Pelodiscus sinensis: one gene and its partners. The protein of the gene in region 3 purifies or fractionates together with the protein of the main gene of each other region. This does not show direct contact. Links are inferred from orthologs where the notes say so. Each region holds a gene or a part of one and is shown on either strand. Other genes may lie near its edges. The genes, in order: RUVBL1, CCT7, WDR5 and SESN2.

Evidence for each region.
Region 1: the proteins of WDR5 (region 3) and RUVBL1 purify together in Homo sapiens (affinity purification with mass spectrometry; 3 studies listed by BioGRID and IntAct, with this or other methods). This does not show direct contact. The link is inferred for Pelodiscus sinensis from reciprocal best matches to the Homo sapiens genes WDR5 and RUVBL1.
Region 2: the proteins of WDR5 (region 3) and CCT7 purify together in Homo sapiens (affinity purification with mass spectrometry; 3 studies listed by BioGRID and IntAct, with this or other methods). This does not show direct contact. The link is inferred for Pelodiscus sinensis from reciprocal best matches to the Homo sapiens genes WDR5 and CCT7.
Region 4: the proteins of WDR5 (region 3) and SESN2 purify together in Homo sapiens (affinity purification with mass spectrometry; 3 studies listed by BioGRID and IntAct, counting the BioPlex papers as one, with this or other methods). This does not show direct contact. The link is inferred for Pelodiscus sinensis from reciprocal best matches to the Homo sapiens genes WDR5 and SESN2.

What each region holds. Positions count from the first base shown.
Region 1 is NC_134721.1:24,793,220-24,800,227, forward strand, and holds the start of RUVBL1 (ruvB-like 1), read right to left. Parts: upstream 3,011-7,008; 5' UTR 2,902-3,010; coding exon 2,761-2,901; intron 2,219-2,760; exon of another isoform or gene 2,186-2,218; intron 1,876-2,185; coding exon 1,789-1,875; intron 130-1,788; coding exon 1-129. UniProt on the Homo sapiens protein: Possesses single-stranded DNA-stimulated ATPase and ATP-dependent DNA helicase (3' to 5') activity; hexamerization is thought to be critical for ATP hydrolysis and adjacent subunits in the ring-like structure contribute to the ATPase activity.
Region 2 is NC_134715.1:131,026,801-131,034,633, reverse strand, and holds the start of CCT7 (T-complex protein 1 subunit eta), read left to right. Parts: upstream 1-4,817; 5' UTR 4,818-4,949; coding exon 4,950-4,955; intron 4,956-7,535; coding exon 7,536-7,689; intron 7,690-7,833. Other genes in the region: PRADC1 (protease-associated domain-containing protein 1), read right to left, coding at 2,135-2,201. UniProt on the Homo sapiens protein: Component of the chaperonin-containing T-complex (TRiC), a molecular chaperone complex that assists the folding of actin, tubulin and other proteins upon ATP hydrolysis.
Region 3 is NC_134732.1:17,957,547-17,965,262, reverse strand, and holds the start of WDR5 (WD repeat-containing protein 5), read right to left. Parts: upstream 3,009-7,716; 5' UTR 2,883-3,008; intron 1-2,882.
Region 4 is NC_134735.1:12,743,389-12,750,902, reverse strand, and holds the start of SESN2 (sestrin-2), read right to left. Parts: upstream 3,002-7,514; 5' UTR 2,687-3,001; coding exon 2,597-2,686; intron 1-2,596. UniProt on the Homo sapiens protein: Functions as an intracellular leucine sensor that negatively regulates the mTORC1 signaling pathway through the GATOR complex. In absence of leucine, binds the GATOR subcomplex GATOR2 and prevents mTORC1 signaling.

The DNA of each region.
Region 1 (7,008 bases), on a different chromosome or scaffold from region 3:
GGCTCTTCTGAAATTTTCCATCAGGACTTCAGTCTTCTTGATCTCAGTGGAGTAGACCTCACTTCCAACCATAGGACAAAATGGAACCTTGCTTCCCAACTCTTGAGCAATAGCTAGAGCTAAAGCAGTCTGTAAAAATTCAAAAGACTGAACTCTTACACACTTAAGAATTTTTATGAGAGATACATGTATAATGACCAAAAGATCTTGTAGAAACCATTCCAGAAGGTTAAAATACTTTGCTCACTACATCACCGTCTGCAATGCTTTACAGTGCTGTTTTATAAATGGAGAGATCCAAGTGCCTTCAATGAGATAATGGAAGAATGAGAACTGGAACCTAAGGCCTGGGAGTCAGGATTCCTATGTTCTTACTCCTCCACTTTTTCATATACAGCAACAGCACATTTCTCTTACAACATGTCTTTCATCCAAGAATTAAAAGAACTACCAAGAAGCACCTGAAGCTAGTCATAAAACTGTTTACTATTTTTGGACAGTCTCTCTTTAACATCCCATATGTAAGGTGTAAGTCTTGTAACGTGCAAAAAACAAAGGTTAAAATGCTTTAAAACTCCCAAATTTATGTTTAAGATGACATTTATTTAAAACCCACATACTTCATATTACGTTTTCATTCATTCACATGTGTAGAATGGGTTTTTACACTGTTGGCACTAGAACGAGACATTGCCACTGCACACTCATAGCATGGTAAAACACAATTTGGAGAAAGGTTCAGTGCTTATTCAACTCTGGCTCAAGTTAAAAAAGATTAGTAACTGCAGAAGGTACTTGCTGAAGTTATTATTGGGGAAATATTTGACACCACTATTAGGGATGTAAAAGAGTAGTCAAGTATATGATAGGGATATTAAAGTTAGATTAATCAACTAATTGAATAGTTGATGGAATTCTAATTGAATAGTCGATGGAATTTCCATCAACTATTAGATTAGTCAATAAGGGCGCTTCTGCTTTGAAATGTAGCAAGAGCTCGCCCAGCTGTTGTTACATTTCAAAGGCGGCAGTGCCACACAGTGTTCTACCTTCAAAGCCAGTTCCCCCAACATTGATTTCATGGTGCCATCTGCCCCTCTGTGCTGCTGCCTCTGATTGAGAGGGGGTCGGAGCTCACAGCAGCAGCCCCTATCTGTGGGGGGGAGGGTCCCAGCTCCCAGCAGACAAGGGCCGCTGCCAGGGACCAGCCTCTGTCTGCAGTGGGCCCACGCTCACATGGACAGAGGCTGCTCCGTGGGAGGCAGAGCAGCCTCGGTCGTGGGGAGCTCAGACCCCCCCGAGGACAGGGACTGCTGCCAGACCAGCCTCTGTCTGCAGCCAGCCCAGGCCTCCGTGGACAGAGGCTGCTTTGCAGCAGCCTCCCACCCACCCCAGCAGCCTCTGTCCATGGGACACTCAGACTGTCGTGGTCAGGAACTGCTGCCACCCCACGCTGCTGCCTCTGATACAGAGGCAGCAGCACAGTGTGGCAGGCAGCTGGTCTGTGATGGAAGCTGTTTTTTAAACTCGCTACCCTCATGGACCAGCTCCTGCCTGCCACCCCATGCTGCTGCCTCTGACACAGCATGGGGTTACAGGGGACTCCCTGAGAGTGGGGCTGAAGCGCATTGGCTGCCGGCCCTGCCCCTGGGGACAATAGAATAGTCAAGTAACTAATAAAAATTCACGTGGTTACTCAACTATTCTATTATCTGCTATCTAACATCCCTAACCACTATATTTAAGAGAGAGTGGTAGAGAATAGCTTTTGTACTAAGAAGACGATACCTTGCCAGTTCCAGGAGGTCCTGCCAATAGCACAGCTCTACCAGCCATTTTCTTGCTTTTGATCAATTCCACTATAACACCACAAGCCTACAAATAAAAACATTAATTTAGCTGGTTTTAGGTAAACCTAAAATTACCTTTTAAATGAATATTCTCAACCAGTTTATAGGTAATAACACTTTTACACAGCTTAAGTACCTGTCATTCCCGAGGGACCAACAGTGTTTATAAGAATTACTACTCATAACACTATTAACATTTAGTTTTTCAATAACAGATGGGGAAACTGAGATAGACATCATGATTTCCCCAAATCACACAAAATCTGTGGCAGAGGTACAACTAGAATGCAGGAGTTCTGACACTTTTGCTGTAAATACAGACTTCTTTCGGGTACCTGTAAATGACTGGGAAGGGAAGGGCTCCTAAAACGTTAGTTATAAAGCAAGATTCATGACAGTGTGGTCCAGCCAATGAGAGTTAAAAGCTTTCAATTCTACCCGAATTATGCTAATGAGCTGGTGTATGACGCTGGGTTAGTCACTTTGCTTCTCTGTGGCTCAGTTTCGCCATCATAAGAAATAACGATAACGCCAATCTCCCGTTACAAAGTGCTGTGACGTCCATGGCTGCATATGGACGAGCCGTTATCGCTGCAGCGCTGCCATCGCTAAAGCTAGAGTGAGGCTATAAGGGTGCGCGGAAGAGGACTGACAAAGACTGAAGCACCAGGACTGCGGCCCCTCCAAAAGCCAGGGAGAAGGGGCAGACCACGTAGCCCCGATAGGGCCCTCCTGACGCAGATGGAGCGGACATTTCAACTGGCAGGTGGGGGCCGTTGGCAAGGGGGCGGGATGTGCAAAGGGGCAGCAACCCCCCAGCAACGGTCTCGCCCACCTCACTAGGCCGCTCTATGCCTCACAGACCCCCCCCCCTCCCGCCGCCCACCCGTCTCCAGCCGGGGCCCCTCACCTCCCGAGCGTTCTCCTGCCCCACCAGCCCGGCCCCCGCCGGCTTGGCCGCGCCGCTGTCATCCAGCCCCAGCCCCTTCACGTGGCTGTGCGCGGCGATGCGCTGCGTCTTCGAGGTGCTCTTCACCTCCTCGATCTTCATGCCGGCGGCAAAGAGCAGACACAGCTCCGGCTGCCTCCTAGTCACACAGTCCCGGGAAGCACGCGGCCCGCGCGTTACCAAGGCTCCCGGCGCCTGGTCACCTAATCCCGCCTTCTCCCTTGCCATTGGCCAACGCGGCACGACTCTCGCTGCTTATTGGAGAGGGCATGTGTCGGTTACTACCAAAGATTGAAAGCTCGCCCATCCACTTCCCTGTGTGCTCGTCGTAGAAGTTCCGGCGTCACCCACTCGCTCTGGAGCTTCTGGGCCGGGATGCTATCGTCCCTGTGGAGCACCCAGCTCAAGGATTGCAGAGGTTGGGGGAAGGAATTACTTGGCCATAGGTGGGGCTTGGGAGGCATGCGGCTGGGGAGAGGTAGTAACCACAGTCAGGGGCAAGCCCAGGCTGTAGCCGTCTCCCCTGCCAGGTCAATTGCCTATGGCGTTTTGGTCTGCTCAGCTTACATGTGCCTCTGACAAATGGAGAGAGGCGAGGACTGCTTGTTTCTAACGAAACTTTCTGTCCCCGTAGTTAAACGGTGGGATAAATTGCCTAGCATAGCTGTGGAAACTCCATCAATGTTTAAGCTGCTCTTAAAAATTTCCAAACCTCTGTTAGGGCTGGGCAAGGGGTCTAGGGGTTGGATTCGGTCCACCTAACACTGAAGAGGGGTCACACTCTGCAAGCCAGGTCAATCTGGCCACTTTCTGTTATGTCTTACTGCCCTTGCCACCGAATTTCCAGTTCAGGCAGCAGGATCCTATTTAAATGGCTCTTGGCTCACAGTCTGGCAGGTGCTGGAGCCATGAGCCTTTTAAATAGCTAGAGTAACCCTGGGCAGCTGCCAGGCACTGTGATAGGGCTGGGAGCCACAAGGCCTTTGCTATGTCTTTTCTTCAAAGCCTCCAGCCCTAGACAACTCTTGAGGGGAAGCTAGTGCCCAGCCCCACCCCTTCTGCCACAGGTCCCACCCTTTCCAGGGGTGGAGCTGGCCCATGACCAAGTATCAAAATTCATTAGGTGGTGGTTGTCCCCCCACCTCCCCCAAAAAAATTATTGTCCACACCTGATCTATATAGTACTTGGTCCTGCCCTGAGTACAGCAGATTGGACTTGAATATCTTTCAAGGTCCCTTCCAGTTCTGGTATTCTATGATTTTATAATAGAAAGAGCTAGATTTATTTTCCAAGACAGTGGCTGTGTCAGAATGGCTAAGGACACAAGCATTTGCTTGCTTTAGAGATCTCCTGTAGTATGCAGTCCTGTCTCGCTCATGGGCTATATCTAATTTAGCCTGATTGTTTGCTTTGCTGGACTTCACTAGTAACATGGAGTCTCTTGCCATTGGATTCAGTTGGCTCATTTATTTTGCAGTGGGCTGGAGGAAGGTGTAACCATCAGGGATGTAAAAATCCATGTAATTAGTTAGCAGGTTAAATGTTATCTTTAACTGATTAAATAGAGGTGGGTGAGAGGAGACATTCCAACCAAAGCGCACTCCCCCAGCTATGGGCTAGGCAGCTCTGACCAGGCTGGAGTGCCCTTGCCCGAGGCATGCCCCAGATGGACCCACAGCAGTTGAGGGCTGCTTCAGGGCCCACTGGTTAACCATAACTCTCAACCATTAAGGGTGAGACTTACTGGTTAACAATTCACCTTCTTATTAACCATGCACTTTTTCCACTGGGAAGTTTAGATTTCCCCAGAAGCACTTTCAGTGAAATAGTGGTAACTTGAAGAAAACACTTCTTAAAATATATATACTTTCATCCCAAAGATAAGCTAACACTTCTCTTTTAAAAAATAACATTTTTACATATTTGTATAGCACTAATAAAATTTCTTTTATCTTCCAGCTGTTAGAATTTCCTTCATTAATGCTTTATAATGTTTTTATTAGCTATGTTCATAGAAAAGTTTTTTTTTTTCCATATAGTGGGGAAAGTGTTTATGTAAGCAGCGAGTTCTGCTTTGGCTCTGAACAATACACTTAGGCTACGTCTACGCTATATGCTTCTTGCGTAAGAAGCCTTTTGCGCAAGAGTTTTTGTGCAAAAACTTCTTGCGCAAGAACACGTCCACACCGCAAAGCACATCGCAAAAGCGATGTGCTTTTGCGCAAGAGAGCGTCCACACTGCATGGACACTCTTGTGCAAGAAAGCTCTGATGGCCAGTCACAGAACGACCATCAGATTCCTGTGCTTTTTCCCGGAGGGGTTTCTTGTGCAATGTCCACACTTGCCTTTTTGTGCAATAGCTGTAGCGCAAAAGGAAGTTATGCCTTGTAAAAGGAGGTTTACCTGCATGGGCAAAAGTCCTCTGTTCTGCCGTTTAACTGCTGATTTACTTGTGCAAATGCTCATTTGAGGTGTGGATGCGCCACAGGTTTTTACGCAAAAACTTTGCAGTGTAGACGTAGCTATACTGTGTATATACATCAAACATATCAAGTGCCCAACACATACCGTAAAATCTCAAGTATAATGCGCACTTTTTACCTGTTGTTTTTTTTTTAGCGTTAAAGTCAGGGTGCGCATTATAATTAGGAGGGGTTTTTTTTTAAGTTTTCATTTGGCAGTTCCGCGGCAGTTAATTAATCGCTGGACACCAGAGGTTAAGTTGATTTTTATTAGTACCAACAAGCAACTATATACACAGTTTCAAAAAGGTAAGTTAAACAAGTGAAATCAACACTGCAGCGCAAACAAGCAAATACCACTATGTTAATTGATTGACTACTCATCTTCGAAGCCCTCGAATTCACTTTTGTTAGAATCTTCCTCAAACAGTCGAGCAATATCTTCCAGGGTATAGCCCTCAACATCTTCATCCAGGTAATACAAATCATTGTCATCTTCGCATACTGGTAATTCGCCCTCGGCCACTTCATTGTCACTCGGATTCATCCACAGGGCATCATCCTCACTGCCATTCATAGCATTAGAGATGCTGCATTTCAGAAACCCCTTCCTTATCATAGCGGGATCAAGTTCAAGCCAGACATCCGCTACCCACTGGGTAACATCTTGCAGCGTTGGTGTTCACATACGTCCACCTGCAGTAAATGTATGTTCACCTTCCAACAACCAGGTGTTCCATTTCCTGTGTAGTGCATTTTTGATTGGCTTGTTAAGTGTCACGTCAAGCAGCTGCGACATTTTGGTCATTCCACTAGGAATAGTTGCCAAGTCTGTTTTGTCCTATTGAAGCCTTTTCTTAACGGATGGCATACGATGACACCGAAATGCATCCAAAACTATTAGAGACCGCTTTCTCATAAGTCCACCCAGCTGCTTCGCCCAAACCGTCTGTAGCCAATCAAGCTTCATCAATCCAGCCTTTAGGGTGAACACGCATGTGAACGATGTTCGGGAAGATTACATTCCTTGGCATTGTCTTGCTCTTGAACACAATATAAGGAGGCAGCTTCGTTCCGTCGGCCATGCAAGCAAGCATTATGGTAAACCTAGACTTTTCATGGCCTGTGGTAGCAATGGAGATGGTCTTGGCACCTTTCAGTTCAAGCATTCTGTCACAGGCATTATCAAAATGTAATGGTGTTTGATCTGCATTACCAATTAATGAAAGGTAGTAGCAGTGCTGCTTCCGTAGCTTATGATAAACTTTTGGAACTGCAGTGACTTGGTGTCTGAGTCCATGGGTAGCTTCTGTGCGATTGTTGTTCAGCATCGGACCAATAGGCCATGGTGATTCATGAACCGATCACCCCAGCCATACGAAGCTTTAAACCCGGCTGTGTTAGTGCACGTTTTGGCAATGGTCAAAGTCTTCTTTCCAACCTCCACAATGCTAACACCACCGCCGTGCTGTCTACGCTCAGCAATCCATTCAACCCGCTTGGCCTTCAACTCAGGATATGCAGCGCTTTTACCTCACTCAGCCATCTTCATCCTAGGCAGTGCTTGCAGGCTCTCTTTCTGCCATCTCCAAAGCCAAATGTTAGACTCCGCTATGTCATCAAATTCACAGCTGGCAGCTCTGTTGCCATGAGCCTCAGCATAGCTAACAACTTTCAGTTTTTCAGAGGTCGTGTAAGATCGCCGACAACTCATGGCATCCCAAAGAGAGCATGGAACACCGCGC
Region 2 (7,833 bases), on a different chromosome or scaffold from region 3:
CATTTTCACCTGGATAGTCCGGTAATTGCATCTTCTGTCTGGTATTTTCTGGGTTTTTTTTTTTTTTACCGGACAGAAGATGCAATTACCGGGTGAAAACCAGATACCTGGCAACCCTACTTCCATCAGCACTTCCTGCAAGAGGCCGTGAAGACGCAGGACGCTCTCTTACATCTTAGGGAGGGAGCACTGGCTAGCCGTGACAGCAGGAGAATGGGCATTGGGAAATCTAGGTTCTGTAGCACCGAAACCTGGTGAGACCCTGGGCAAGTCAGTTTGACCAGAATTTTCACTAGTGTCATTAATCTCTAGGCACGAGGGATGTGAAATCCATTGAATTGGTTAAACTCCGCCTCCTGAGCCAGCCGCGGACAGGGGATGCTCCAGACACCTGGAGCAGCCCCTGTCCATGGCAGACCTCCAGAGCAGCCCCCCATATAAACCTTTCACATCCCTACTGGGTACCTCCAATTTTTGCATGGCCCAGTTTTAGGCACCTGGGGAGTAATTTACCGAGGTGCTTGAGGCCCCAGACCAAGTCAGTGGAGCTGCTGGTGCCTGGACTCTGGAGGTGTGTCAGGCTGGGTTCCCAAAATCTCTAGTCACTTTCCAAACACATTGCCCCTTACCCAATCCTTGCCTCAGTTTCCCCTCCAGTAGCACACGGGGCTGCCACTTGACCATGGCACAAGGGAGTCAGGAGGCACAGTTAATGCGGGTGAAGCACAGCAGACACTCTAGCAGGCCAATTCACTCTCTAAATTACTACAGGCACCACTTGACGCCTGTCAGTGGGGGGCGGGGTGTCTAGTGGGCAAAGCAGGGCAGTCGGGGGATGTGGGTTCTATTCCTGGGGCCACCACTGACTGGCTGAGCGTCCTTGGGCAAGTCACTTTCATCGCTCCATGCCTCAGTTTCCCAATCTGTACAGTCTGGGGCCTGTTTACTTACCTGCCTCTCATGGGCTCCCTGACACTGAAGTCCGGGATCCTTAGCGAGGCAGTTAATAATTACTACACTAAGCAGAGGAAGCGGGAAGGGAGAGTAGTAGGATAAATGACAAGGAAGGGCCTAATCCGGAGAGGTGCTGAGAACCCACAGGAGATGCTGGTGTCCAGCGCTGCTCCAGATGGAGCCCAAACCCTCTGCCCTGCTGAGAGCATTTTGACGTCTCGTAGCAGCACTTCCGCTAACCTCAGTGAACCGAGCAACCCCCCAGCCACAGCCAGAACATTAATTTGGGCAAGCAGCTAGGACCCATCACGAGACTCCTCCAGAGTGTGACATAAAACCAGGCTGCCTGCTTGGCCAGCCCTTTGGAACGCGCCTCCGAACTGAACACAGGTCATTTACCAAACCCAGCGGAGCAATCTCCCCTCTGGGATTTTCTCCTTTGCTTTCTCCATCTTTTAACCTGCCTCAGCTCCTCTTATTTACCTGCTGGCTGCCCCTGAATCCAGCTTTCCCTCCATCTTCCTTTCCTAATCGCTGTGCGAGTTTCAGGGCTGATTTACCGTGTTCTAATGGGCAACCACAGCGATCAAAATTGTCTCTCAAGCCGAGTGGCAATGCAAGATTCTCCCTTGCTGGGCCCCCTCCATGGAGGGATCTTATGCCAGGGCAAGAGGATGTTGCATTATATTTTGCTTTGGCTCGCTCACAGCTTTCAGAGCGCCGGCACAAGGCATTTATTAAGACTGGATCCTGTGCAGCGAGATTTTCCTGCTACATGGCCCCAGCCGGACTGCCACCCCTTCACGACTGAAAATGGGAACTTACAGACACACTAAAAACCAGACAGGTCTGGCAGGGCTTCCCGGCAGCCAACAGAGCAGAGCATGATGAGAATACAAAGAATAAACAGCAAGCACAAATTCCCCCCCAGCCGAGAAGCGCTCAAGGTTTTTTAACCCCTCCCCTGCATTTCAGGGCAGCAGTTTCTGAGCACAAGGGCCAGCGGCTGCCGCAGCAGGGCACTTGACTTTGGAAGAGGCAGCTGGATGTGCATTGTAAAGGCTTGCTTGTCAGTCCTGTGTTGCAAGCGTGCGCCAAGCAGAATGGAAAAGGCGCCCACACAATGCAGGCACCGGGGTACTCTCTAGCCTCTCCTTCTCCCCGGGTGGCCCGTACTCACCATCAGCAAAAGGGCAGGCGCAGAGACAGAGCACAAAATGCAGCCAGCTGCCAGCGCTGAAGAGCATGTCTGTGCACCAGCCTCTCCGTGGCTCCCCAAGGCACCTCTAGCCACAGAAGTCTCAAAGTGGCCACAAAGCAAAGCCCCGCCTCTGGCTTCCACTCACTGGTCAGCTCCAGCGGCTGCCAATCCCATTGGTGAAGGTTTCAATCAATCCAGTGCCGGCTGGTTACAAGAGGCTTGAAACACCGAGGGGTTCCTAGTAGAGAGGAAGAAAAAAATAAATAAAATAAAATAAATCCGAGCCGGTTCAGCCCTTCAGCAGATTTTTCAGAAGTAAAATCACTGGAAGCAAATCCGTCCTTTTCCACCCACTCGTACTCCACGGAAAGGGCAGGGACACACGACTGGGGGGCAGGAGGTGGGGTTTTATTCTGGGCTCTGCTATAGATGTGTGACCTTGGCCAAGTCATTGCACAGTGTGCCTCAGTTTCCCCCTCTATACATCTGCCCAAGAGGGGACCCTGAGCTTCACCCATTAATGTTTACTGATGGGGAGGAGGGGTTTTGCTTCAAAGGGGTAGCCTTGCTCCCAACATTCAAAAAGCTGCGCAGGCATCTGCAGGACTAGGGCCTACCTGTAGATGCAGTGAGTGAAAGCAACAAACAAGGAGGAGGGAAGGGAGGGCAAAGGTTACAGGAATAAGCGCCTGGATGCTGGTTTTGGTTTTTACAATGGTTGCTTTTAATGTGGGGGTTGCTATGGCTTCTTTTGCTGTTGCTCAAGCCTGCTCTACTCCCCCTCAGCCCTGCCTACCACTGGCATTTCTGCACAGTATCTCACTAGCTTCACAGCTACAGCAGCCGCCCCAGCCCCTCCTCACGGCCTCAATCCCCCTCCCCCAATTAGTTTTGCTGTATGGACATTTTGTTGCGCATCTTTAAACCCTGCCAATCTCATCCTAGACAGCACCGGTGCTGCTATACGGGTGTGAGCCCCTCCTGATTACACGCTACACTGATATACTGCGGGCATGCCACTGACATGGCTTGATGCTGTGCAAGTGTCTCTAATGCAAGGGGGACGAGGCACTTCGTCCCGGACTTTCCCCCCCATCAGACCCTCTGCCCCGTTTCCCTGCCTCCCACTGTGCTCCAAGTGCCTGGGGATAGCGTTGCCAGATGGGTCCAACAAAAATACCGGACGCACTTGACATTCCATCCCAATCGACATTCCATCCGATTTAGAAAATACCGGACGGTTCTATTTTCTCCATTGGTTTCCAGAACAGAAAGCTCCAAAACTGGACTGTCGGGTGCAAAACTGGACACCTGGCAATACTAGCTGGTGAACCCAACTATCTGCTCCTCATCCAACCTCCCCTTCATGAGCCCCCATCAGTACCCAGCTGCCTGCCAGACTGTGAGCCCCACCTGCCCTCCCCCACCTGGCAGCGAGCCCCCACCTGCACGCCCTACCTGCCAGATAGTGAGCCCCCACCTGCGCTCCCCCACCTGCCAGATAGTGAGCCCCCACCTGCGCTCCCCCACCTGCCAGATAGTGAGCCCCCACCTGCCAGACTGTGAGCCCCCACCTGCGCTCCCCCACCTGCCAGAGAGTGAGCCCCCACCTGCGCTCCCCCACCTGCCAGAGAGTGAGCCCCCACCTGCGCTCCCCCACCTGCCAGATAGTGAGCCCCCACCTACCCTCCCCCACCTGCCAGAGAGTGAGCCCCCACCTACACGCCCCACCTGCCAGACTGTGAGCCCCCACCTGCCTTCCCCCACCTGGCAGTGAGCCCCCACCTGCGCTCCCCCACCTGGCAGTGAGCCCCCACCTGCGCTCCCCCACCTGCCAGATAGTGAGCCCCACCTGCACTCCCCCCACCTGCCAGATAGTGAGCCCCACCTGAGCTCCCCCACCTGCCAGATAGTGAGCCCCCACCTGCGCTCCCCCACCTGCCAGAGAGTGAGCCCCACCTGAGCTCCCCCACCTGCCAGATAGTGAGCCCCCACCTGCGCTCCCCCACCTGCCAGAGAGTGAGCCCCACCTGAGCTCCCCCACCTGCCAGATAGTGAGCCCCACCTGAGCTCCCCCACCTGCCAGATAGTGAGCCCCCACCTGCGCTCCCCCACCTGCCAGAGAGTGAGCCCCCACCTACCCTCCCCCACCTGCCAGAAAGTGAGCCCCCACCTGCACACCCCCACCTGCCAGATAGTGAGCCCCCACCTGCGCTCCCCCACCTGCCAGATAGTGAGCCCCCACCTGCACACCCCCCACCTGGCAGTGAACCCCCACCTGCGCTCCCCCACCTGGCAGATAGTGAGCCCCACCTGCGCTCCCCCACCTGCCAGATAGTGAGCCCCCACCTGCGCTCCCCCACCTGCCAGATAGTGAGCCCCCACCTGCACACCCCCACCTGGCAGTGAGCCCCACCTGAGCTCCCCCACCTGCCAGATAGTGAGCCCCCACCTGCACTCCCCCCACCTGCCAGAGAGTGAGTCCCACCTGAGCTCCCCCACCTGCCAGACAGTGAGCCCTATACTGTCTGCTTGCCAAATAATGAGCCAAGTCAGTACTCCTCTTGCCAGATATTGAGCTGACCCCACCCCTCCGCACCTCTATGGTCAGAGGCGGGAAGGAAGGGACGCCGGCGGGCTCCCAACCATCGAGTGGGCGCGGGGAGAAGCCGCTCGCTTCCGTTTCCCGTTGGAACTCCGCCCCCGCCCCTCGCGAAGTTTCTGCGCGGACGCAGTGCATTGTGGGAGCGGCCACCCCCTGTGCTGGAGGCGCTCCACCGGACCTTCCGCCAAGATGATGGTGAGTGGGGCCGGCGCGGCCCGCGCCATCCGCCGCCATCCGCCCCGGGGACGGGCCCTCCCGGCCCGACAGCGGCTCCCCGCCCCCAGCGGGCTCTAGCCGGCCGGCATCAGCCGTTATTTTTGGGGGGGGCGGGCTGGAGCCGGAGCCGCGGCCCCCAGCGCAGCCCGGCGGCAGGAAGGGCGCGGGGCGCTGCGGCCTGCCCCGAGGGCAGCCCATTGAGCGGGGTGGGAGGCCTGGGGAGCTCGGGCCGGCCTGGCTAGCGGTGGGACATCAGTGGCCTCGCAGGGACTACCAGCCCCATCAAGTAACGCGCGAAAACTTGCCCCTGAGTTGGGGTTCCAGGTGGCGCATTGCATGCTGGGGGTTGTAGTCCCTGTAGGACAGAGCAGCGGGGGGAGTGAAGGAAGCCTCTTCTGCTGACTATAGTAACCGTTAACCTGCCCTTAGGGCTCCCCAAACCATTGCGTGCTGGGATCGGACGCCCTGCCTCTCCCCGAAACAGCCGCAGGGGCCCAGCATTGCCCACGGAGGCTGCTGTGGTCAGGACGTAGCATTGCATGTTGGGGGCCACCGTCCCTGTGGTCTCCACGGTTCTGTTTGGGTGATGCTAATGGCTCGTTTTGATTCTGGCACCTGCTGTCCCCAAATTGTTCAGAGGAAAGGGGCAGCGTTGCCTGATGCAGTGTTGCCAGACTTGTCATCTCGGTGGTGGGCACGTCCCCGGGCTAAGCTAAAGGCAGGCCTCAGAATGTGCAGGGATGCTTACAAAAGGATGCTTATGTTGCAGAGAACGTGGTTTTCTTCAAAGGCAGGATAATTTGGATTTTCTATATAAACTTCCATTTAGGCTTGTTCTGACAGAGGTAAAAGAGCCTTGTTTCTGTTTCACAACATGTCCTTGAAGTCTGAGGGCCTGTATTTAACTTTCATGCCCCACCCTTGGCCCTCTTGCCCAATGAGTCTCCAAAGGCAATGTCGGAATTGTTTGAATCCTAGCGATCTTGCCGTAAAACTGTTTATTGCCAATGGGTCAACCTCCCACTTCACTGTCAGTGTAAAAAGATCATGCTTGCATTCGGTGAAGTGCTAAGTGTTGGCCTAGCTTCCCCTTCAAGCAATGCCATCTTGCTCTGATTTTTTCAAAGACAGTGAGAGGTGAAAATGGGTTTCTGCACAAATAAAGGTTCACTGGCATGGGATCATCCTAGAACATTGTGAGGAGGCATTGGCTGGCTGTTACCATGGCCTTTTAGAATCCCTAAGTCATTCTCTTACAAGCATAAGAATGACCATGCAGGATCACACCAGTGGTCCATCTAGTCCAGTATCTTTTCCCTGGCAGTGTCCAGTGCAGATGCCTCAGGGAGAATGAATGAAACAGGGCAATTTTGAGTAATCCCAACCCATGTCCATTCCAAGTTTTCTGGTGGGTTGGAGGCTTGGGGACACCTCGAGCAGCGGCTCTCAACTAGGAGTACGCGTATTCTTGGGGTAGGGATATTAATGCACCCCTGTGCGTTTTTGTTATTTCCTAATTTTCATGTTTACCACAGACCTTGTTATCTGCATTTTGGGTACCACCCTCAGTGGGTACAGCTGTGCTGCTGGCAGCAGCATTGTAAGGGTAGACAGGTCTCGGTTGTTCATACCGTAGTGTCATGTAAAGCTGTTAAGAGATTTTTCATGACACAGTGGTAGAAATGCCTTTGATCTGTCCACTCTGTCAACTTAGCATTTGGCAGCAGCATTTTTAATAGCTGTTGGAGTAGTATGGATACTATATATCTAGTACAGAGACAGTCCAGTGTGGAAGTTGGAAGGTAGAGGTTGGACTTCCCTTGTCCGGCACCCTAATTTGCCAGACCAGGGGAGGTCCCCTACCACTGGCTCCCCAGCCTGCTGCTCCTCAGTGTTCCTAGTTCTGCTACCAGGCCCCCTGCCTCCAGCCCCCCCATCTGCTACTATGCTGCCCTGCACTGCCAGGGGCTTTGGCCTTGCATTGCCTCAGGCTGCCAAGGAATCCCAGCCTGGCGCTATCCTGGGCTGCAGCGGGCTACCAGGCTGGCCTCTTCCCAGCGCTGCTGCGGGCTGCCCCCAATTAAGGCTCAGCTCAGTAATGTAAAAGTTAAAATAATGAAAACAAACACAGGTTTTTGAGTGTATAACTGCGAGCGTTAGAAACTCAAGATACTCAAGGTGAAGATTAAAATGAAAAGAAAATCTTCAAAGAGCTGGATCTTTTGATGCCTAAGACCTTATTTCACAAAGTCTAGTTGTGAGAATAAAGTTTGTAGGCTCCGGCCCCTGCAGCGTAAGATCTTCTGGGTTGAAGTTTTTTGTAAGTCATTAGGCTTTAATAGACTTTGGCTTCAGCGTCAGATATGGAATAGCAAACAGTGACACTCTAATAAGGTGAACTGATTTCCTTCATTGTTCCCCTCAGGAAAAATGACATTGAATAATACTAATAAGCTGAGCTAAGGAGGTTAAAATATTGGTACACAGTTATTTTTAGGGTGACTATTTGGCTTATTAAAGTCTGAGGGAAGCATTAGCTAGCATCTCTTGTCTTTTCAGCCCACACCAGTTATCTTGTTGAAGGAAGGCACGGATTCCTCCCAAGGGATCCCTCAGCTTGTAAGTAACATCAATGCCTGCCAGATTATCGCAGAAGCTGTTCGCACCACCCTGGGCCCTCGGGGCATGGACAAACTTATTGTTGATGACAGAGGTAAGTATAAGATAACATGACTTCCCAGAGCTGCCTTTTAGCGCTTCAGTGTTACCAAGCACAAGGCAGTGGCTTTTGGCTGACTTATCAACCTCCCTGCATAATGCATAGTATAGGTGTGGGATACAAGGTTCCACGAGAGCC
Region 3 (7,716 bases):
AGACGACAATTAACGTAACAATGCACCCTAATCATAATCCAGGTCCCCATATAATCAGTGGGGGGAAAAAAATCACTTTCCAATTCTAGCTAAAATCCAAGAAACCTGAATGCTGCTGGTGGGAGTTAAATAAATATGGAATTGACAAAGTTTTATGCCTATCACTCTGTGCCATCTGCAACATTCCTCTGAACTCCCCGTTTTATAAAAATAGACTACAGAGCTTTTTGCTAGTTGTCCAGTCTCCAATGCCAAATCAGATTTAAACAGCTATAAGCACCTCTTGCTCTCCAGAGCAGTAAACAATTGCTGTAGTTGCCACACAGGATTGTTAACCAGTGGCAAGGGAGGTGGTCCATGTGATGCTCTGAGACAATGTGGTCTACAGCGTACACCAGTTCAAGAACCCCTGTTCTGGCCTAATCTCATATTACAGCTGAGAGGATCTGGTGAGAGTGTGGGCAGTTTATTTCTCACCACACTCCCTGAAATGCCATTAAACGTAAAAAGTTCAGAAGCGTAGCTATAAGAGTTTCATTTCTTGGAACTGAGGCAAGTAATAGTCCTGGATGTCTTTCAAATGGAAAGACAGATGCGATACAAAACCCACGATCATGCGAAAAATGCAACAGGTACACCCAGAACTCAAAATCCTATTCCCTTCTTCTGCCCTCCCAATTCATCTATTTCAACCAAGGGCTGTTTCCTTAACTGCATTTGAGAGCAGCAAATCATACTTGTTCCTGCCTTACACATGGAAGATATTTCACCTGATTAAGAGCCAGCCTGTAGCAGTCTCAATAGACTCACCTTCTCGAAACAAAACCCGAAACTGCTGTGCCAATATTCTTCAATCAGTGCTACACTGCAGAGTAAAAAACCTCTACCGCAGCCCTGCTAGATTTCAGCCTGACAATAGGCAATACCTCCACCACTTACAGTAAGGCCTTGTCTTAAGACAAAAATTATTAGTGTTGCTACCACCAGTTTTGTTCTGCTAGTAGTAGCTGTATTTGGAGTGACAACACAGGTGCCTGGTAGGATTTTAAGTGCCATGTCTTCTTTGGGGGACTGTGCAGCACAGTATAGCCCCTGTCTTTCCCACACTAGAGCTCTCTTCAGTGGAGATGAGCCACTGCTAGGAAATTTTGGAAGAGAGCTTTGGAAACTCTACGTCAGCTGTTCAGTGTTTAGCTCTGTTTGTGTTATGCATGATAGGAACAAGAGGCAGCTTTCTGCATCAAACAGCAGAAACAGTAATATTCAGTCCAGGTTTCCAGAATGGCAATTGGCTGATGCCAATATGGCTAAGATTGAACTCATGAAGAGGCTTTTACACCAAGCTCAAATCATTAATGCTTAAAGCTGCATCTGGCTGGAGGGAGAACAAGCTTGACTTCTGCACTTGTGCCAGTTCAATCCCCAATCTCATACAGTAGCCTGGGCCTTTAGGATGAGACACACCCTCCATGTAATAAATAGTAAGGGCTAGAATCTATGCATGCAAGTAACATTGGCCACACAAGCCACCCTGAACCAGTGCATGCCCCCAAGACAGGCTATGCAGCTTATTAACCAAATAAGGGAAAGGTCTGCGCATGCAAAGCAAGATACAGATTACGGGAGCTAGAGAGGACAATAAATCCATACACCCTGGCCACAGACTGGTGCATGCCCCCAGCCAGGCCTAGGAACAAGAGAGGGCGGAGCGAGACCATGCATCCCAGGACTAGGGCTGGTACATATCCCCCTGCGTGGGAGCTAAGAAGGGGTCAGACCCATGCAGTCTGGGGGCAGGTTCATACACGCCAGTCATGGGCACCAAGGAAGGGCATGTCCATGTACCCCATGGGTGCTAGGGAAGGAGGTCAGATCCATTCACCCTGCACCCCGAAGCTGGTGCCTGCACCACCACCCCCACTCCCGGTGCTAAGGAAGCGGCTTTTCCATACATCACCAGGGCTGCACAGCTCTCCCCCAACAGGAGCTGGGAGGAGGCCGGTCCATGCACCCTGGGGCAGGAATGGTGCACACCCCTCCCTCCACGTGGAAGCTAGGGAAGGGACAGATCCATGCACCCAAGAGCAAGGACATGCATCCTCCCTGCTCCCTCCCCCCGCCCTGGAGCTAAGAAAGGACACGGGAGCCGGGGGAGGGGCGGCCCCACGCACCCCCCCCATTACACGGGAGCCGGGGGAGGGGCGGCCCCACGCACCCCCCCCCATTACACGGGAGCCGGGGGAGGGGCGGCCCCACGCACCCCCCCCCATTACACGGGAGCCGGGGGAGGGGCGGCCCCACGCACCCCCCCCCATTACACGGGAGCCGGGGGAGGGGCGGCCCCACGCACCCCCCCCCATTACACGGGAGCCGGGGGAGGGGCGGCCCCACGCACCCCCCCCATTACACGGGAGCCGGGGGAGGGGCGGCCCCACGCACCCCCCCCATTACACGGGAGCCGGGGGAGGGGCGGCCCCACGCACCCCCCCCATTACACGGGAGCCGGGGGAGGGGCGGCCCCACGCACCCCCCCCCATTACACGGGAGCCGGGGGAGGGGCGGCCCCACGCCCCCCCCCATTACACGGGAGCCGGGGGAGGGGCGGCCCCACGCCCCCCCCCATTACACGGGAGCCGGGGGAGGGGCGGCCCCACGCCCCCCCCCATTACACGGGAGCCGGGGGAGGGGCGGCCCCACGCCCCCCCCCATTACACGGGAGCCGGGGGAGGGGCGGCCCCACGCACCCCCCCATTACACGGGAGCCGGGGGAGGGGCGGCCCCACGCGGGCCGTTCCCTGGCGGAGGCAGAGCTCGGGGCGGGGCCGCGGGGCGGCGCGTGCCCGGCGCGGGGGGGGGGGAGGGGGCCCCGCTCAGTCACTTACCTGGGAGGGGGGGGAGGGGCGCCGCCTCCTCCTCGGCGCGGAGCAGGGCCGGGGAGGAGGTGAAGCAGCGGCAGCTCCGTAGCTGCCAGGCGGGGAGGGGGGAATTGCGGGGCGGCGCATGCGCTCACGGCGGAAGGGGAGGGAGCCGCACAATGCCGCTCTCTCCCGGGGATGCTACGGCGAGGCGGAAGGGACAGAATCCGTCGGAGGCGGACTGGCACAGGCCTTAAAGGGCCAGAGGCCTGTTCCGGGTGGGGGCTCCCAGGGGATGCACGCGGCCAGGGCTGCTGCAGAGGTCACGGCCCTGCGGCCCACGTGTTGCAATTTCCCTGGAAGTCGCTGAGGCTGGAGCAAGCTGCAGCTCCCCAGGCTGGAGCCCTCAAGCCCCCCCCCCCCCCTTCCCAGCCTGACCCAGTGTCCTCATGTGCACTGGACAGCCTGGGTGAACAGTGCCCCTCTGCCAGAAGTGGGGGGGGGGGAGTGTTGGTGTGTGTGTGGGGGGGGGATTCTCTCTCACACACACACACACACACACACACAGCTACTTATGGGGCCCCGTGATACACACACCCACTACATATGGGGCCCAGTTCTGCAAGCAATCCCCACACACACGGCTCGTATTAGGAAACCCAGCCCCCCCCCACTGCAGCACTGCTTTAAACCCCCATTTCTTAAAATATAGGGCCCGTCCCAGCATCATTGTGTCTTACCCAGGTGACACTGGGCTGGTGCCAGCTGTATACCTGTAAGAAGCAGACACCGGCACCAGCCCATATGCGGCGGATGTTAAAGTGCCATCACGGCAGCAAGGGAAGGACCGTTTTTAATGTGCTGCTTCAGCAGTGCTTTAACATTGCTGCCGCTTTTGCTCCCCCCGTCAGCGGCAGCGCTCCCTGTAAGCTGTGTGCTTATGCAGCCGCTCAGGAGCAATTCAAATGCTGCACCCACTGCTAGGTTTTGTGTTTCTATCAGTGGTGCAACTCTGCAAACACCCGCGTGCACATACAAATTTTATTCCACACGTGGATAGAAAAGGTTAGAGCAGGGATTCTCAAACTCTGTGATACTGTGCCCCCCCTCTAAGTTGCTCGCGACCCCCCGGGGGGAGTCGGGACCCACAGTTTGAGAAACGCGGAGTTAGAGGGAACATTGGTCAGCAGCCCTGTTGGTCGGGTCTGGCAGAGTGACCTGCAGCAAAAGGTGCAGCTGCCTTGGAGACCAGTGTTTAGAAAGGCCTGGGGGTCCCGGATGAAGTGGTGGTCATGAAAGACTGGCTGAGGAGTGTGGTCCTCTAGGCTCTAGCCCTGCCCCTTGTGCGGTTTCAAACCCACCCATCACCTCTTGCATACCAGTAAGGACTCCGGCATACCAGTAAGTCCTAGCGCTTCCTTTCACCCCTACTCTTTAACATTGGTCCCCAACCTTTTGGGGCTGCCGGGCGCCTGGGGGCGGGGCTACTCACACACCTGGGGGCGAGGCCGTGCACGTGCTTGGGGGCGGGGCCACCCATATGGCGCACGCCCGGTGCTGGCACCACCCATTCGCTGCACTCCCGGGGGCCAGCGCTGCTCCTGTGCCAGGCGCCTAGGGGTGGGGCTGCCCATACGCCGTGCGCCAGGGCCGAAACAGCCCATGCGCTGCACGCCCAGGGGCGGGGCCACCCAAACGCCGTGTGCCCGGGGCCGGCACCGCCCATATGCCGCGCACCTGGGGCCAGTACAGCCGTTGCACCGCGCACCCAGGGGCAGGGCCACCCAAAAGCTCCTGGGGCCGCCCATGTGTTGCGTGCCTGGGGCCGACGTTGCCCATATGTTGACCGCCCAGGGAGCCGGCACCGGCCATGCGCCATGCGCCCAGGTGTGGGGCCAGCCTCATTCACTCAGCAGGCGCAGAGAAATGGCCCGGCGGGCGCCATGGTGCCCCCGGGCACCACGTTGGGGACCACTGCAAGTTTAGCACCTACTCAGCCTTCAGAAACTCACTCAGGTATCTAAGACTCAAGGTCTCTCACATCAGAGCTACTCAGAGAGGAGCTGTGTGTTGCTCTTTAATGTGTCTCCTGCAGCTCCTTGCAGCACATGATATTAAAACACTGTGTGATTTAATTATTTAACCAATCTACATAATTAGCTAATCAGGATGCTTTTACTGTGTTATTCACCAATTGTAAAATACTCGATCAGTCATTTGGCTGTGAGGATAATATATACATTTACACAACTGAGGCTCTTTTACGTAATGTGGATGGCTAATTTGCCTCCTGAACCACTGAGGTTAGCAGATCGCTGTTATACGTTATTGTGAGTGGTCTACTTAAATCATGGAGAAATCGCACATTTTTTGTGGGTGGGTCATGGCATAAATAGCAAATGTCATGGCCGTGTTCATATAGGATACAGGATAGTACTCTGCTAATGTGAGGTTTGTCAGTCACTCTGGGTAAGGGAATCTGCTAAATTAAGAGTAAAACTTTTTTTGATGGGACCTCTCCCCCCTAAATTACAGCCTTTCTTCTGGGCTGCAGGCGTGCTGCTCTCTAGCCATTCAGCACAGACAAGCAGCCCAGAAGTAAGGGAATATTGTGTCCAGTTGGAGTATTGTGTCCAGTTCTGTGCACCACATTTCAAGAAAGATGTGGAGAAATTGTAGAAGATCCAGAGAAGAGCAACAAGAGTGATTAAAGGTCTAGAGAACATGACTAATGATTAAAGGTCTAGAGAACATGGGCTTGTTTAGTTTGGAAAAGAGAAGACTGAGAGGGGACATGATAGTGGTTTTGAGGTATCTAAAAGGGTGTCACAAGGAGGAGGGAGAAAAATTGTTCTTCTTGGCCTCTGAGGATAGAACAAGAAGCAATGGGCTCAAACTGCAGCAAGGGAGGTTTAGGTTGGACATTAGAAAAAACTTCCTAACTGTCAGGGTGGTTAAACACCAGAAGATCTCTTCCAGAAAAGCTTCTTCCGAAAGAAGCCTGCAGTCTAGATGTAGCCTTTGTCTTTTGCTTCAGTGCTAGTGATTGTGTAATACAGTGGCTTAATGTATCTCGCCATAGCTCCCTCCAGTAATTACCTAAGGTATGTGATCTCTTCTTGAGCTCAAGGGATTAGAGACCTATGCTTTTGGAGCTGGAAGTATCTGATTCAATCCCCAGTGATGACTGATGTCTGTGTGTCCGCTTGATATACTTGCTTTGCTGCTGCAGTGGATCTCAGTTGTCTATAAGTGTGAATAATAACTGCAGCTATACCAATTTTTTAAGAAGAGAGCTTTGCCCTTTGATTAGGTTGTGCAAAACACCTCAAAGAAGCTCTGAAACAAGCAGCAATATGCACCCAAGGGATGCTGCTGGAAGCATAATAAAAACTTCTGTTCTGATCTTGCAGAGGAGAGCCAATGAAAAGGTTCCAACACGGAAGGGCTGGATTAATCAAATAAGATCTGTCCCGGTTCTGTGCCTTGCACGCTCCATAAAATTTGACAAGGTTTCAGAATATCCATTCAAAGGACCACATTTAGGAAAGCGCTTCAAAACATGCTTAAAGTTACGCCGCTGCTTTCTGGAAAAATCAGTGCTTTCCTGAACCGAGGCCAAAGGCTACACAGAAATTGCGACAAGCGGCTTTTGTTTAATGGAGGAAAAAAAAACCCAAGAAAAGTGTGTACATGCCGGTCCTTTAACAAAGAGCTTTGAGATCCAAAAATTCTAATGGCAGTTGGGGAATGGAAAATGTCTGGTGGAGAGGGGATTCAAGGAAAAATTTACTGCCTGCTTTGGAAATCTGGAGCAGGAATTTAAAGAATTAAACCTTATAATGCAAATATGGATAAGGGGGCAAAGTAGAAGATAATAAACGGAGCTGGAAAAGCGGCACAACCCAGCATTAAGAGACCCAGCCAGTTAAGTTCTTTTCTGTTTTGTAACCTAAGGGTGGTTGGTTTGTTTAAATAGACTGGATTCACCGTTTTAAAAGCTGATACTTAATTATTCTTTGGTCAGAACAGTGTAATTTGCTTTTCTTGTTGAAGATTAAAATGTACATGTACTGTGCCCCATTTCTCATGACTCTGTCATGCTGGAGATTTCTCCTACCACTTCCAAAGTTCTCTTATTTGTATTACTGTTTTGCTAGTGCCTAAAGATCTCAAAGTGCTTAACAAACAGTAACTAAGCATCACAACAACACTGCATGTTCCCTGCCCTTAAGGCTAGGTAAAGTGTTTTAATTTACCTTTTTAAATAAAGCAAAATGATTTTTAATCATAATAGGCTCCAGTTAAGCACATACCCAGTTTTAAGTATCAAAGGCTTTAATGGGGTTGTTTAGGTGCATGAAACTAGACCCTTACCTTTGGAGATGATGGAAGCTGGTATGAAACACACAGAGGCCGTGGGTGAAGGTAGAGTTGGTGGAGGCAAGCCCGCAGACCCACCCCCAGGTCCACCCCTTCTGCTCAGGCCCCACGTCCCAGCAAGAAAGAGGGTGTGTGCCCTCAGCCTCCCCCAGCCCTAGAGCACCGGGGCGGGGGGGTAGAGGGCCATGGCCCCAGTCTTCCCAGCCTCAGAAGTGATTGTTTTCCTTTTTTCGGCTCTGGTGAGGCCACATCTGGAATATTGTGTCCAGTTCTGGGCCCCCCACTATAGAAAGGATGTGGACGCATTGGAGAGGGTCCAGCAGAAGGTGACCAAAATGATTAGGGGCTGGAGTGCATGACCTATGAGGAGAGACTGAGGGATTTGGGTTTGTTTAGTCTGCAGAAGAGAAGAGTGAGGGGGGATTTGATAGCAGCCTTCAACTTCCTGAAGGGAGGTTCCAAGGAGGCTGGAGAGAGG
Region 4 (7,514 bases), on a different chromosome or scaffold from region 3:
TGTGTCTAAGTCTCAGAGAGGGGTAGCTGTCTTGGTCTGTAACTTTACAAACAAGGAGCAGTCCTGTGATACCTTCGAAACTAACAAATATATAGGATCATGAGCTCTCATGGGCAAAACCTACTTCTACAGATGAGCTGGCTCAGTGTTTTTTTCAGAGTTTCTAAAACAGTGATAAATATCCCTTGAGGTAAACAGAGGTCTTCCGGGGGGTAAATCAACTCATCTAATTATTTGGTCTAGATTCACCACACTAGTGGAATCCATACAAATTAAAATTTCATACAGTAACTTGTTTACACTGCTCTATATTCAGTCTGTTTGACATGGAAGTACAATAGTTATACTACAATTGAGTTTATAATTATATGAGAAACATGAGCCAGTAAGCAATTTTTCAGTAGTAGCATGCCGTGACACTTTTGTATTTTTAAGGTCTGATTGTATAAAAAGGGGTACAGTGGTCTGGAAAGTTTGAGAGCTATTCTTCTAAAGCATTTTGCAACCTCTCACCTTTTCCTTTAATGTCCCCTCTCTTTACTGCCATGATATTGTTCACGTTGCTTGTGTCTGTCTAGTATATTAAAACTGTAAATGCTTCAGGACAAGGACAGTCTGCTACTCTGTACAGCACCTAGCCAATGGTGAACATTTGGACAAATCCTTAGGCACTGTAATTAACAAGATCAATAATAATGTCCGAGAAGTACCAAATACAGTATTCACAGCACTTCCGAGTCTTACACAGTGACTGCTCCTCTAGAGGACTCCCAAACCCATCAGTGAACTAGTTTCAAAGCCCAAGCTCCTCCATTAACAAACAAACAAACAAAAAAACCCCAGCAGTGTATTTTGAATACTCCCTAGCAGAGATTAAGGAAGAGAAAGCTGCCTGCCCATCCTCATCCAGATCTGCAAGAGACACAAAAGTTTTCTGCACAATGAAGTTCTGTTCCCACAGGATTCAGTTCTGCCATCTTCAAAAACAAGCACAGCAGATGGACACAACCGAGGTCTCTTCATGTAACTACTGGACCTTATAAGGGAGACAAGAATGATGAAAGCCATGTGCAAAGAATCACTCAGCTGGAACTTGGGAAACTTGGGTATTACATCATCTATTTCCTGCTCTAGTAGCGACCTGCTACCTAGCTTTACTCCTTTCTGTGCCTCAGTTTCCTTTCTCAACCTCATATTTTTAGGCTGTAAAGTTCCTGCACACATCTTCAAACTATGAAACTCACAAGGTGCCCAGATGGGGCCAAACAATTAAGAGTGCATGAAAGCCACATAGAGAAATTGCACAGGGCTCATCAACACAGTCTATTGTATTATTTGCTCTTCTTATCTCCACCTGCCTCTTCCCCGCGTTTGTTTACCCCCTAAATAAAAGAAGAGCTGGTCACCTTTTCATCTGCTGAACTTTCTCAGGGCCCTCAAGAAGGCTTTTAGTTACTGTATTGTCCTCAGTACCCGGGGAGGAGCAAGGTACATTGTAAGTTGTTGGGAGCACCAATTTGTGCGCCATTCAGATAGCACCATCTTAGCAAAAGGAGGCGAAGCGCATTTGGAGGGTCCTGCACTGCAGTTTGCGGAATACCCACCCTGAAGAGGACAGCTGTGCCTTAAGGTAGCAGAATTCCCTGCCCAAGAGTCAAGTAGGAGAAAGGGCGATTTCAAACTCAAGGGGGTTGAGCATCTCTATTTAAAGTTTAGCCATTAAAGAGTCACAGGAGGTTTCTGTAAGCTAGGGGGAGCAGACTCGTCTCCCTCACATCACCCTTTGGAAGGAAAAGGGGGGGGGGAGGAATCTTGTTCTTAAACTGGAGGTTAAAGAAAATCTTAATGCATGGTGCCAGGTTGTTACAAGTGTCTCATCTGTATTAAAGACAGGAAATTAAACCAATTAAACATGGAAAGTCGAGGTTGGGAAAACTTCTTTTGCAAGGGAAGCGGTAGCTAGTTATTTTAAATTCTGTCAACTTCAGAAGGGGCTGTTCTCTCCGAAGTCAGTAAGAATCGGTCTTAGAAGTGATCTCCATCCTCCTTAGCGAGCCACCCGTCCCCCTCAGCCTCCTAGTGAGACTACTTCGTTTACCCCGGGGGGGAGGGGGGTGACAGGCCCACAGCTTGGGACATGTCTGTACTTGCGCCCTGTTCGCCCAACAACAAGTCAAATGGAAACTCTGATTTGCCTCCAATGACCGAGAAAAGTCGAGAAGAGAGGGAGCGAGAACTCGGTTCGCGGCACATGCCAGACGCTGCAAAACTGTTTGCCCATCGGATCTAGCATTCACCGGCCCAGGGAATGCGCCGATATTCGCCACCGGTATGAACAACCTCACGCCCCCCCTTCGCATCCCATTTCACTGCGGCTGATGCAACTGGAGTAAAAGTGTACAGTTAAAGAGTCCCTTACGCGACCAGGCTGGATCTGGAGCGCCGCCCCCTCCCCCCAAATCGTTTAGACTGGGAAAGTAAACAGCTCCGAAGTTACAGACCAGGGCAGGAGAGAAGAGAAAACTGGAAAATAAGCAAACCCCTTCCGAAAAAAGGGTGTGTGTGGGGGGGGGGAGGGTTCCCCCCTTTCCATTACCTCCTTACTCCGCAACTCGCCACATCCTTCGCAGGGCAAGTAGCTCGCGATGCCCGTGCAGCTGCGGCACTCGGAGTCTGCAACGATCATGGTGCCGTTCGGGGTGGGGAGGGACTCGGGTGCGGGGGAGACGTGGGGCGAGCTCTGCGCCAGCGCTCGGACCCGGTTATCTGTCCGGAGGGTGAAGGTGCATCGCGGGCCGGGCAGCGCCTGGGCACGTCAGTTTCGCGGCAGGTGGGCGCCCCGGGGTTCCACGGCAGAACGTCCGAAGGTGGCCGCGTTCTGGAACGTCCGGGCGCATCAGGGTTCTGGAACGTCCGGGCGCATCAGGGTTCTAGAGCGCCGCGGAGCCAACCCACTCGCGACTCGCTCCCAGCCTCCCAGCTGCCCTCTCATAAAGGTCTAGGCGGGGAAAACAGCTGCCCGCGGCGGCCCACTGACCCACTGGCCCAATCACCTCGCAGGAGGAGGAGCGTCCTCCAGAGCTCGGGCTCAGCCCCCTAAACTTCTCCTCCAATAGGGAAGGACAGAGCCGCTGGGGATTTTGGGAGTGCTAGTTCAACCGCTGTTTACTTTGGGGCAGACGGAGACCTCCTGGGAAGATGAAGCAAAATGCAGGACAATGTAACAAGATGGTTTATTAGATGATGAGCTTTCGTGGGCCAGACCCACTTCCTCAGATCAAGTCAGAAATGGGTGCAGGGGCTAGGAACCCGGCCGAATGAATGCTGCAGAGGCACGCACCACCCGCCCCCTCACGGGGTTTTCTTTTTCTTTTTTTTTAATGGAGAACACACTGAGATAGAACTTGATCCTTCGTGGGGGAGGGTTGCAGTGGAAGAGAGAAAATTAGGCACAAGCAGAAAAGCACTTGACGCTGACTCAAATTGTATATGAAAGGTCCTTCTGGCAGGATCAAAATCTAGCGACCTGTTTGCATGCAGCGCTTAAAGTGGTTTGGAAAAGTGCACGTGTGTGTCTGTGTGTGTGTGTGTGGGGGGGGGGGTCATAATCTGGGAGTAAAAGTGCTTGACTTGCATCCCTCACTGACTTGAATCCATTTTTAAATCTCATTTTTTGGCCTAGTCTGCGACCCCTTCTCACCACCTCTGCACTTTGAGCGCCCACGTGTACACACACACAGACACACAGACACTTTCTCAGATCTCTGGATCTACCTAAAAATAACACAACTTGAAATGAAACCTAAGTCTTACCTAAGTGAACCTGCCAAACAGAGACTAAATAAATAAAGGAAATAATTTCAAACCAACATTAAGAGCACCTGGATGGAGCAAAACAACCAATCAGGAGAAAAACAACATAGAAATAAAAAGAAGTGATGTTGGGGTGTTGACGATTACCCTGTTCCCTGTAGATTCAAAGGGCTGATTCTGGATCACAAACTCCCATTATGGGATTTCTGAACACACCGAGAAGAAATCTGCACATAGGTTCCTGCATCCATTTGCCATTGCTCTTGTGCTGTCATTTGCACTAGTGCAAAGTGGATGTAAAATACTATTAAAACAGTAGGGCTCTGTTCACTTTTGCATGTGCGTAAATGGCAGCACAAGGTGTAGGCCAATGGAGAATCACGCCCATTATCTATGAAAAGGAACACGAGGCCCACAAGGAAATGAACATTCACACATACTGGGCCCAATTCTCCTCTTACATCAATTAACACCAGGCTGGACTAAAGCCTCACCTACGTTTAACACTTGTAGGCTACGTCTACACTAGCACCCTTTTCCGGAAATGCTTAAAACGGAACAGTTTTCCGTTATAAGTATTTCCTGAAAAAGCGCATCTACATTTGCAGGATGCTTTTCCGGAAAAGCACTTTTTCCGGAAAAGCGTCCGTGGCCAATCTAGACGCGCTTTTCCGCAAAAAAGCCCCGATCGTCATTTTCACGATCGGGGCTTTTTTGCAGAAAACAGTACTGTGCTGTCTACACTGGCCCTTTTCCGGAACAGTTTTCCGGAAAAAAGACTTTTGCCCGAACGGGAGCAGCATAGTATATCTGGAAAAGCGGCTGATTTTCTGGAATAAGTGGCCAGTGTAGACACAGCCGTAGGGCATAAAAAACACAACACCTAGTGACACATGTGCTGACAAAATGCTCAGTGTAGGTGCAGCTACCCTGACAGAGTAGTGCTTCGTCAGCACAATTGATGTTCAGGGAGATAATGGAACAGTGCCTGTTTTGGGGGGGGGGGGTTTACAACCAATAAGATAATGGGTTAATAGAAGAGAGGAAGGAGGGAATCCAGGACTGAAATAAAAGAGGGACTTGCAAGTCAGCATCGTGGGTTCCTTGTCCCCTTATAGCCCTTCCCTATAGCTTCCTCTGCTTTCCTGTGTCCCAATCATATTGAGTTATATTTTTTGATGTACCCTTGAGACTGAGTAGAGATCACCCCATATCCCTGGTCCTTTCTGTGTCTTAAGACACAGCTTATCATTCCTACATTAGTGCACAGATCTTCATAAGCAACACAGAAGGCCAGACAACTGGCAGCATTATGAATGGAGCTACACTGGAGATGAACTTGGGTCTGTTATTTCACAGAATAATCAATCAGAAAGCGCAGTGCCAAATTGTGTTCTCTGCTCCCCTGGCGCAGCCCCCGTTGATTTCCACCCCCGCTGATTTGAATAACAAACACCACATTTCTACAAAAGAGAGAGCCCCAGACAATAGTGCCGAGAACAATCTGCTTTGGCGTCAAGAGCCACACATGGCAAAGTCCAGAAAACAGAAGTAGCTGCGCAAACAGGTCTGGATTTGCCTGGCAACAGCCTCCTCCGGCTCCAATCCAGAACGCCTGCCAGTTAGGTGAAAATGTCTTTGCACCTTGGCTGAGTGGTACTTCCCAGGACAGCCAATGGACAGGCGGCTCAGGAAGGGATGGCAGAGTGTGGTTGGCTGAGGCTGCAGGCGGCTCAGCCAGTCCCTGCAAGGAGCACAACAAAGGGGAAAGAGGAAGCTTGCAGTGGCAGCTTATATACAGTCAAACGGATTTTTTTCCCCTCTGGCTGATAGATCAACCCCATGCGCAACTAGTGTTATTTTTAGCAGCGTTGTGCAATTGCAGCTTTACTGCAAAACTCTGGCTTGACGGTGTTCTGTGGCCTTCAACCACCCTTCTGTGCAGAGACCCCAGTTTGCCTTCCATTCCCCCGCAGACCTGGGCATGGTGCAGCTCAAGTCATTGTAACAAAGTGGATTCCTTAAGCATTTGACCAGGGAAATCTGGGAGGCCAAGTTTGTGTTACTCCATTGGGGCCAACTCTTTCCGACTCACTCTAGGGTTTAAAACTCCGGAGAGGCCAAACAGTGAGGCAAGAGCCTTTGTAATGTGCTTTTCTTAATGGCACGTGATTTAAGATGAAGACAGACCCACATGCTCCCAAATTCTGAGGAAGGATGGGCCCGTCCTTATGATAGTCCCAAAGCAGAACCAGGGCTGCAGATCTCCCCGTTTGGGCTTATTCTCAGTCCCAAATCAGAACCACTGAATCTCTCAATAGCCTGAGCTTTGGCAAAATTTGATTCGAGCCTGGAATTCAAATGCAAACTCCACCATGCGGCCCCCATTTCTCTAGGCAGCAAAGCACCCGGCAGAGGCAAAGCATCGGTCCATGAACAAATTGCACATTCTGACATTCTTTCTCCTCGGCATCACATCCTGCCTCACCACTTACCCCTGGACCGTGAAGGTGTAAAGTGCACCGTGTGTTCCTGTTGCACACTCACTTTTCACAGGTAAAAATGGTACGTGAGGTGGCGAGGCAGGGCAGAATCACTGCCCCTCATCCCCGGGGTAGATCAGGCGGCAGAAGGGTGACGTTTCTTCAGGGGAGATCGGACCCATCTCAACACACTGTGCTCTGCAGATCTCATACCCTTGCCGCTCTCCTGGCTGGTTTGCCAGCCAGTCCCTGCCAAGCCTGGGCAGCATGGGTGGGTAAGAGGAGGGGGCACCACCAGCTCCCAGTGACTAACTTACCCATGATTTACCCCCTCCACTACCCTACAAGGCTGTACATGCAGCAAAAGTCAAAGGCTAGAGCAGCTTCTCCTGGGCTCACTACCCCCCGCGCAGGGTCACAGAAGGAGCCTTGTGTGGCCTGTTGTGACCAGCTCGGCTGTTTGTCAGGAGCCCAGGAGTGACAGATGCCTTGAGCAGCAGCTGGGTGTGGGGGGACGCTGAGGCAATTAGCACGGAGGCTGAACGCTAGGGACCCTTGTACACCCGGCCACTTGGACAAAGCCCGGAGCAGCAGCAGGTCGAGATGCAGCCTGTTCCCTTGAGCTGCTTCCCCTTTTTGCCTGGTTAATGAGGGCACACATCCCCATTCTTCTCCCCGCACAGCCTCCCAGGCCCCAGGAGCTGTTACCAGCGGGGGAAAGGGCAGATCTCCCCTCTGACTGGCTGGCTCCCAAAGCTCCCTCCTCCCCATAACTCGCCTGGCTGAGATGGACACGTCCTCACCCCTGGCAAGCAGAGCAGCCTCCCTCCCTCAGGGACTTCCCAGCCCCCCAGATCCCACTTTTAAAGGGACAGGACTGTATTTAAGGCCTCCTGCAGGTGTCCCGACTTTTTCTTAAAAATGGGCAAGTTGTCCATTTTCTGCCTCCTCCCCCATCAGAACTGGCAGGTCCTGCTGCTGGCGGATCCCTGCTCACCTGCCGCCCTCCCACAAGCAGGGAGGGGGCTGGGTGTGTAAGTCTGGTGGGTGAAGCGGCAGTGCACGGGGCCAGGCCCGTCCTGCTGGTCCATCAACGCAGCCCTGGTTGTGTGTCGGCTCTGGAGTGGCGGGGGAAGTGATTTCTAACCTGCTCCCACCCTGAACCTGCGGGGGCTTAGCACCCTCCTCTCCTGCCCCTCCCACACTGCCCTGGGTCTC